Linked DNA regions of Rattus norvegicus. The protein of the gene in region 1 interacts with the protein of each later gene in a biochemical or structural test. Links are inferred from orthologs where the notes say so. Each region holds a gene or a part of one and is shown on either strand. Other genes may lie near its edges.

Region 1 (4,437 bases):
AAAATTATTTTAGGTAGACTTGTATTTTCCGTGAACTGTATTATTTATAATCAGAAGTTGGATTCAGGAAAAAGAGGGGATGTTCGGATGTATTTTAAAGCACTGTGACATGTTTTAAAACCATAAACATGATTTCCTTGTTCATTTAAAAATAGGTCAGCGCTGCATTTTCCACACGTTAAACTGTACATTATGTTTTGCTGTTAAGGCTCTGGCTCATCAAGCGACCAGGGGATATGCATTGTGACAGGGCATGACTCTCTGAGCCAGCTTAAAATGTGATTTTTTTTTCTGAGTGACTATGCTCAATTTAGAAAATGACTTCTTGTGTGCTACAGAAGCACTGGCTAGTTGCTTACGGACACCCTGGACCGTATTTCAAATATTCTCAACTAAATTTGCTGATGAGGAGTCATGAGGAACTTGAGGATGCATTGCATTTCTACTGAGCTCCTTACTAAGAGTTCGAGTACCAATGACTATAGTCAGTAGAAGGGGAACAAGACAGACACAATATTATTTTTCGAAGTTAGAGTGAATAAATATTTCTTGAGATTATAAAATGACAGATTTTGTTTAGGTGTTTCACAGGTGATGTCGGTATTGAACAAACATAGGTCTTGAATTAGAAATTACGTGACATGTGTCTTGTTGGGGACTTTGAATGGAGAGACGCCTAACATTGGCACGGGAGGTGTCACCCTTAAGAGTTCCTGGCTTCTGCTTTAGGGCCACAACCGTGTGCCACAATTACCTAGCATGCGATAGATCCAGGTCCCGTGTTACCAGCATGCGCAAGCCATCCTCATTGAAGAAGAGGTTGTTCCCACTGGAAAGGATCCCACATTTTCGAGAAGGTTTCCCACCGCTCATTAGTAAGAATCGATCGGATTCCAGTTGACCTGAGAGAGTGGAAAACGTGGTTTACCCATGACCATGTTTATTACAGTTTCAAAGAAATATGACAGAGTGTGTCATGTGCTTTTAAAATGTGAAGCCATAAACCCTAAGTGTGCATTTTGGGATAAAAGGACTCTTTATCACATGAACGTCTTCAGTGTTTTTAGCCTTGAGTGATAAAAAGGTACACATGTCAGAGAGGGGCTTTTCCTAACTATCTGTGGTTCAGCCAGGCAAGCGCACATCAAAGAAAAATGCTGGTTAGTCAGGAAGAGAATGAGGCCAGAAGACAGGCCAGAAGCTGGGACACAGCGTCTCTACCGTGTCCTTCCCAATCAGAGGCAGCCTTAACGGAGGAATAACACAGTATCTTTTGAAAATGGATGCTTTTGTTTTTGTTTTTTTTTAATCACAGACATTTAAATATAATTTAATAGTTGCTGTTAAATGCCTTTCAAAGCCAGTTTTCAAATCTACTCAGATGTGAATTTAGTTTTCTTTAATGAGGGAAAATGCACAAAACATGTTTACTGTATTAACAACTTAAAAGCGAATAATCCAAAATGGTATCGGTGTATTTCTGATGTAAAACCTTTATCACTAACTATTTCAAGGTTTCCATCCCCTCAAGGAGAAGAAGCCTGTATCAATAAAGCAGTAGCTTCCCTTTCTTCTGCATCCCTGGCAACCAAGCAGTCTGTTTATTTTTAATCTCCAAGGACAGGTTTATTTGAGATGCTGCACACAAACAGAATATGCAGTAGATTTTTTTTGGGGGGGTCTGGTTTCTTTTACGTATTATATTATTTCCAAGGTTCATATACATTGTAGCATGTATCAATAGTTCAAATGTTTTATGGCCGTGTAATGTTTCCCTGTATGCTTGTACCTAAATGTAGTGTTAAGATGTATTATAAAATTATAAATAATAAAAATGATTACACATATTTTACAATTATTAAAATAAAATAATTAAAATAATAAAATAATTAAAAATGAAATAATTTAAAAATGATAAAAATTATTAAATGATTAGAAAATTAATTAAACAATAAAATTATTAAAATTAAAACAATTAAGGTTTTAATTATTTTAACAATTCAAAATAATTGAAAGAAAATGGAGGAAAACAAAATCTTTTGATCTGATTCGCTAACACACATGGCTGCTGTATTGGTCCACCATATGAAAATGTTTTAATCCAACCTTTGGTAAAAGCACATCTACAATTCAGATGCACCCAATGTAACTAGTATATAATGTACACTTTTCTCTGTCGCAACACTCCCGTCATATGTATTGATGTAAAATAAAGGTGTGGAAAAGGAGAGGCTGCCTGAATGGTTGGTGGAACCAAGATTTCTGAAAAACTGTTTCTTATAATCCAAGATTACCCCTTAGGCATATTCTTGTGCCACTTGTCAGCAATTACATGTGGTATCAAAAGTCATGGAAATAAAGCAGTTGTAATAGCATGCACAAGACCTGAACAAGCCCAGCCAGACCAAGTTCCAGCAGGAAGGCAGTTAGTTGGGCATGAAGTTTCTCCCTAGCCAAGGAGCTGCTGGCTATACAGCTTTTGTGAGAGGGAGAGACAGGGTTGTCTAAGAGTATAGTCCTGATAAGACCGTTCTCCGTGCAAGGCCCCATAGCCACGAATATTTGGGCAGTTCAAACTTAAAGGGGAAATAAAAAGGACACGGCGTCGGGTGGGACAGGAAATGAGTGGATCAGTAGATCTAGGAGGAGTCAGAGGGGAGAGGGTGAATGATCAAAATACACTGTGCAAAATTCTCAACTAGCTAATAAATGTGAAATGTGAAATATAATCAACTAATTTACTAAAGGAATTTGATTTTTCTCATAGGTTCTTAGATGTATAACTATCTATGTATAAGTATCTATCAATAGCATCAATAGTAGTATCAAGACATTAATGACCTTAAAAAAAGACATTAATGATCTAACCTGTCTATCGAAAATTAAATAAATCTTACAAAAAAGTGGTGAAGGTAACCTTTAATTTCTCAATTAAAGTCTTATTCATTCTCCCTCACTAACCGCCGTGTCAAAAGTGTAACCCATAAAATTCAGAGAGAAAGGGACTTTGGTGTGTTGGCCATTGTAAAGACGACTATTAGAATATATGTGAGTGGTTAATTCTCCAACACAGGTTGTGCTTATAGGTAAATTCTTCCAAGAAGCACACAAAGAAGACTACCTTCAAAATCGTCTTTGAGAAAATCAGGATTTTTGGTGCTTATTTTGCAGGTTGGACCGGAGTAGCCGGGATCACATATACACTTGGTTCCATTGACGCAGCTCCCATGCCCACAGCACATCTCTTCGCACTGGGGACCAATGTAGACATTATCAATGGCCCACGTGACCGGCTGAGAGCCGGCGGGATAGAATCCCTGGTACCAACGGAAACGCACAGATCTGGAAGACAAAGCAGGGTGTCAAAGTTACCCATGAGGACATCACATCTTTAGAGCTAGCACCCTCGGTCCATGAGCAGAGGGGGATTGCTTCTTATACATCAACTTAGAAGACAGAGGAAAATGAGACTTGCCATTTGTGGGAAATTCTAATTTTATTTTTTTTGGGCAGTAGAATTTTACCAGTTACTGAAAAACTGCACCTGATCTTCCTGTGGTCCCAACACTGGCTCTCTTGATAAAATGATAAAAGCTAGTTGACTGGCACCGCTCTGCATAACTAAACGTTAAAAAAATGGTATAAAACTCATGAACACAGAATCAAACATTATCACACCCTTTCACGGTTTTTAACACAGTAACTGCTCAATAAATTTAAGAGAAAAAAAAAGTTAGAAAATCAGATTTATTTTTTGGGTTGCTTCTTCTTATGTCTTGTTTTACTTTTTTACTTTTTAATAAAAAATAAGCAAATGTGTCAGGGTTGGTGACTCATGCCTGCAATCTCAGAACCTGACATAGAGATAGAAAGACTCCCATTAGTTTGAGGCCAGCCTCTGCAGAGAGTTCTAGGCCAGCCTAAACTCTGTTTTGTTTTTATTTTTTAAATATAAACCTAACCAACCACTGGTCTCCTCCTAGCATATCGCCTAAATCACCATCATCACCAAAATTAGCAACTGAGTTATCTTATCATGTTACTGGTGACAAACACGTTACTGGAAATAATCATTTAACCAGAAGTCCAGAAATAACTTTTTTTTTTAAAACATGCATAAAAGTCAGCTCAGAGAAGATAGAAGAGAGGGGCTAGGCATTAGATAGGTCATGGACACTTACTTTTGCGTCCCATGAATTTACCTATCTTCTTGTGACCACGTAAGCTAAAATCTGACGTTTTTAATTTGAGAAACTGAAACTGAAGTTAAGCACTAGGGTTGGGGATGGCTGCAGAGACAGAAGCTGGGTAAGCCTCCGCAGGGTAGCAGGGACTAAGGCAGACAGAGCCAAGTTCTCCTGTACTGTCTCATTGTTTACAGCAAGACCCCAGGTAGACTGGGCTGACCCCAAATGCCAACTGATAATTAAAGCAGGC
Region 2 (4,437 bases), on another chromosome or scaffold:
GGTGAGAGCTTAGGTCTCCTTGCTGCCGATGGGGCTGGCTGTCTTTTTCCACTAAAATCCAATGCACTGTCTCCACTGTTTTGGTGGTCTGCCTGTTCTATGCACTACCAGCTTGTTTTCCTAAGAGATTAAAACCTGATATACTGGAATGTAGTAGAGTGTAATTGGGAGCATAGGCTTCTGGGTCAGGCTTCCTCGGTTCAAATTCTATCTCTATTACACATTACCCGTGTGACCCTGTGGAAGTTAATGTAATATTAAACGTATAATGTATATTATATGTATATTATATTTATCTTAAAATATTTTCTACCTCTTAGGGGTCCATTTAAGGATTAAATGGGATCATATCAGATACTTAGCACAATATCTGGCTGGCATTGCCTAATTCAAGATGGTAGTGAGGTGGTAGTAGTTATGATGAGGGTTAAATTTAAAAAGGTTTGTTAGCCAGGCATGATGGTGAATGCATATCACACCCCACTCGGGATGGTAAGGATAGAAGACCTCAAGTTTAGACTAGCCTGGGCTACATAGCGAGACCCCATCTCTAAAGGATCCTTGTTGCTGTTAAAGGCACATAAAAGCCCATTCTTAAATGAAGAGTAATTATAAATGTATTGTTTTAAATAAATATCCTTCCCTAGCTCTAAGACACCTGAGACACCTGTACAGCTCTATGCCCTGGGATCCCATGAGAGCCCTCTGAGGTGTGAGAGGAATGGCTAGCCACTGGCAATGCCCCCCAATCTATTTCTCCATGTTACTTCAAGAAACTCTGGCTAATCAGGGAGCTGCCCTGTTCACCAAGTTAGCTAATTGGAGGGCGCTGGAGAGATGGCTCACTTGTTAAGTGCTTGCCATTTAGGGATGGGGATCTGAGTTCTGCTCCCAATTCATGTAAAGCCAAGCATGGCAGCATGTGCCCATAGCCCTGGCTGAGGAAGGAGACAGGAGGAGACCTGAAGCTTGCTGGCCAGCCACTTTAGCTGAACCAGTGAGCTCCAGGTTCTGTGAGAGACTGTCTCAAGAATTATATTGCAGAACTATTGAGAACACTCCCAAGGTTGATCTCCAGCTTCAACAAGCACACATACATATTATACACCTTCAGTACACACACGTGCACAAAGATGAACATGTACACACACACACACAAACACACACACACACACATACACACACACACGCCCGCACGCACACACGCACAGGCATGCACGCATACAAAGAAGGAAGAAAACAAGCTAATTGGAAGCACTGCTGTCCCCTTGCTCTGATGTGCTAGGAAACGTCCCAAGACCTGAGAGAACACTCAGACCTCTGCCCCCATGAGAGGAAATGGAATTCCACCTCTGCAAACACCAGGCTGCCTCAAACGTCTATTCTTAGAACCTAGCCTCTGCTGGCTAAACAGCCCTGATCTGAACAATGTCACCAGGTTGCTTGGTTTCTGGGCCAGCCGTGTATGGGGAAAAAATGAGAGATGGTTTATCATTTAAAATGAAGCCCCCCGGCAATTATAAAGGTATTTTCTGGTTAATGAGATACAGCTGTTCCAACAGGACAATTACTGCTCCCAAGGATTAAAGAAGTACTAAGCTTAGTTATTCTATCCAAGATTTGGAAACAGGCACAAGCAGATCATACTTTACAGACATTACTGCCTGGGCAGCTTACCAAGGCTGCCGGGAGCTCGGATAGAGCTTTCCAAACTCGACGACACCCACCTCAGGAACACATGGAACACTGACACATACCCAGGCAGCTGGGCACTTCCATTCACAATGCCTCTTTTGCCTAGTTCCCTCTTTGAGGCAGGGTCTTACCATATTGCCTTGGCAGGCCTGGAACTCTCTATGTAGATCAGGCTGGCCTAAAACTTAGAGATCTGCCTGTCCTGTCTCCTGTTTGCTGACCACCACTGCCAGGAGCCTTTGCCTCTCCTGACCATCTTGAGAAGCAAGTCGAGTGTAGCTTATTATTGGTTCCTTTTAGGGGGAGACTGACGTTTAGAGATGAACGAATGGTTTGCCTCCAGGTCCTTTTAAACTTATGGACACCCAAGCTTCCTCAATCCCAGGACAGGACCTTCTCTCCCTTGCTTCCTCCTAAGAGGTGGACATTACAAGATCTTCCTTCCTAGCCACTCCCGACCCTCATCTTGGCTTCCCCCAAGTTATACGAAATGCAGAGCTGACTTCCTTACAGTGCTGGGAGTGGTTGCTGGTTGCAGGGCTCAGGGTGGACGGGCTGGTGCTGTGAGCCTTAGGGATGTTCACTGAGTGAGGGACGGCAGCTGTCTGGCTTGGCATCTCTGTGCTGTGGTTCTGGTAGGTAGAGTCGTGGATGGTTGTCCCAGGGGCTCCCGTAGTAGCAGGTACTGTCCTTGTCATAGCAGAGGCTAAGGTTGTAGTTGAGGTAGACGGAGGTGCTAGAGGGGAAAGACAGCAGTTTGTTGCTTTGGTGCCCAGTTATGGTTGCTGAGTTCCAGTAGGGGCTCAGCCTCTGGGCTTAGCTCAGATGCCACTATTGTGAAACTTTCCCCCATCCCCGAATGGGCCGTGATCTTCTCTGAAGCTGAGTCCTAGCACTTCACTTTGATCTGATAAAGACGGGTCCGTGGGACAGAGCTGTGGAGACAAGTGTGGAGGAGGCCTCTGTAAAAGACCAGAGGGAGCAGAAATACAAATTGAGAAGCATTTCATCCTCGTCTGTAGTTACATCGTCAGGTTTAAATTCTTCACGTTAAACAGTTGAATCTGGACATTGTAAATGATGTAACAGGCCTGATGCTCAAACCCAAGGTTTGGCTACACATGGGGACTGAGAAACAAAGCCCAGTTGTGAGGATGAAGTGCTAGTCCACCATTAGTCACAACTGCACTCAAGGGCATCTACGCAGTGTGCCAGGTCTAGCTAAGAACAGGCATCTGCTACAAATGGTCAGCAAGGACCAAGGGCTCTTTACTCGAAGTTTTCTTCATTTTAATTTTTACTTTTTGATCTGTTTTTATTTTGTATCTACGGGTGCTTTGCCTGGGCACCACGAGCTCGCCTGGTATCCTCAGAAGTCAGTAGAAGGAATCAGGGTTGGAACTTCTGGAGTTGGAGTTAGGAATGGTTGAAAGCCATCATATAGGTGCTAGGAACTGAGCCAGAGTCCTCTGCAAGAGCAGCAAGTGCTCTCAGCCACGGAGCCTACTCCAGGCCCCATTAACTTGGTTTTCAAGGGATTCTAGAAACTTCCTGAAAGTCGAATTTAAAGCATTTTATGCGCATTGCACTTTTCTTGGAGATGGGAAAGCCTTGGAGGGTGCCATGAACTCACTCTGTCAAGGACGTTTAGATAAGACGAAGGTGCAGATGTGAGAGGCAACCGGGGAAGTTGGAGGAAAAGCTGGAGCATACTGAGTCCCTACGAGTCCAGGGCAATGTTTGTCACTAACCTCGGTAGCATCTCTTCATGTCTGGGCCCAGCCACATTGTGTCAGGACAGGCACAGGTGTACTTGGGAGAGTGGCTGGAGATCTGAGGAGCAGGAAGGCACAGGTATTCACAGCCGCCATTGGGCTGGGCACTCAGCTCACAGGCATCTGCAGCTAATGGCAGGGGGAGGAGCAGACAGAGAGCATGTTGGGAGATTGACAGGCCATGCCAGGTCCTCTTGTCTACCAATAGTGAGTTCCCACCAACTGGACTTGCACAGAAATCTTTCCCCACCAGCATAGTAGCTGGGACTTTATCGTTACCCTCATTCATTCTTACAGTTCTGAGAGGTGGGTTACGGTTCCAGGTGACAGAGAAGCCTACCCTCAGAGAACACACGGACACGTTACAACTCTAGGAATTTTAAGTCTACCTCTCCCCGACTGTGTCTGTCTCGTTTGTTCCTCCTCTGGGCACCTGCCGTCTCTTTCTGCTTTAAGTCTCTAGAACTAGAATCAGGTGCAGACCTCATCGTCTTGCCCCTCTCTTTGCTGTCTCCCTTACCCTGGCAGCCATTACTGGTTACAGCTGGTCATGGCAGCGGATGACACAGCCCTGTGGTACGACTATTAGACCGTTCCCAGTAAGCCACCTGGCTAACTGTAAGGCCTGGAGACACAGGAGTTTGCAGTACTGCAAAATGGGTGCTAGAAGTAAGTGCACACTGATGTGTCGCGACAGAAGGAACTTGGCAATCAGGTGGCCTCCGGTTTAGATTTTTGTTCTACCTGCTAACATTGTTTTTTCTCTCCAACTTCAGTTTCCTCAATTGTTGAATGAGACATACAAAAAGCACCTGTTATCGGCAAAACTAGGACGCCTATGTGTTTGTTCCTAGCCTTGTGTCACACAGAGGCTGAAGCAGAGTGAAACCAGATATGACAACACACTCTACAACAAGAGGGATTATTGTATTCTTGGGGATGCTGGGTCAAGACACAAATGGGAAGA

What was found. The genes of interacting proteins can lie anywhere in the genome.
Region 2: the proteins of Reln (region 1) and Lrp8 form a complex in vitro, tested with the Homo sapiens proteins (7 studies listed by BioGRID). The link is inferred for Rattus norvegicus from reciprocal best matches to the Homo sapiens genes RELN and LRP8.

The regions. Positions count from the first base shown.
Region 1 is NC_086022.1:13,987,970-13,992,406, reverse strand, and holds part of Reln (reelin precursor), read right to left. Parts: intron 3,343-4,437; coding exon 3,122-3,342; intron 903-3,121; coding exon 755-902; intron 1-754. UniProt on the Homo sapiens protein: Extracellular matrix serine protease secreted by pioneer neurons that plays a role in layering of neurons in the cerebral cortex and cerebellum by coordinating cell positioning during neurodevelopment.
Region 2 is NC_086023.1:127,847,214-127,851,650, reverse strand, and holds part of Lrp8 (low-density lipoprotein receptor-related protein 8 precursor), read right to left. Parts: intron 3,600-4,437; coding exon 3,447-3,599; intron 2,432-3,446; coding exon 2,207-2,431; intron 1-2,206. UniProt on the Homo sapiens protein: Cell surface receptor for Reelin (RELN) and apolipoprotein E (apoE)-containing ligands. LRP8 participates in transmitting the extracellular Reelin signal to intracellular signaling processes, by binding to DAB1 on its cytoplasmic tail.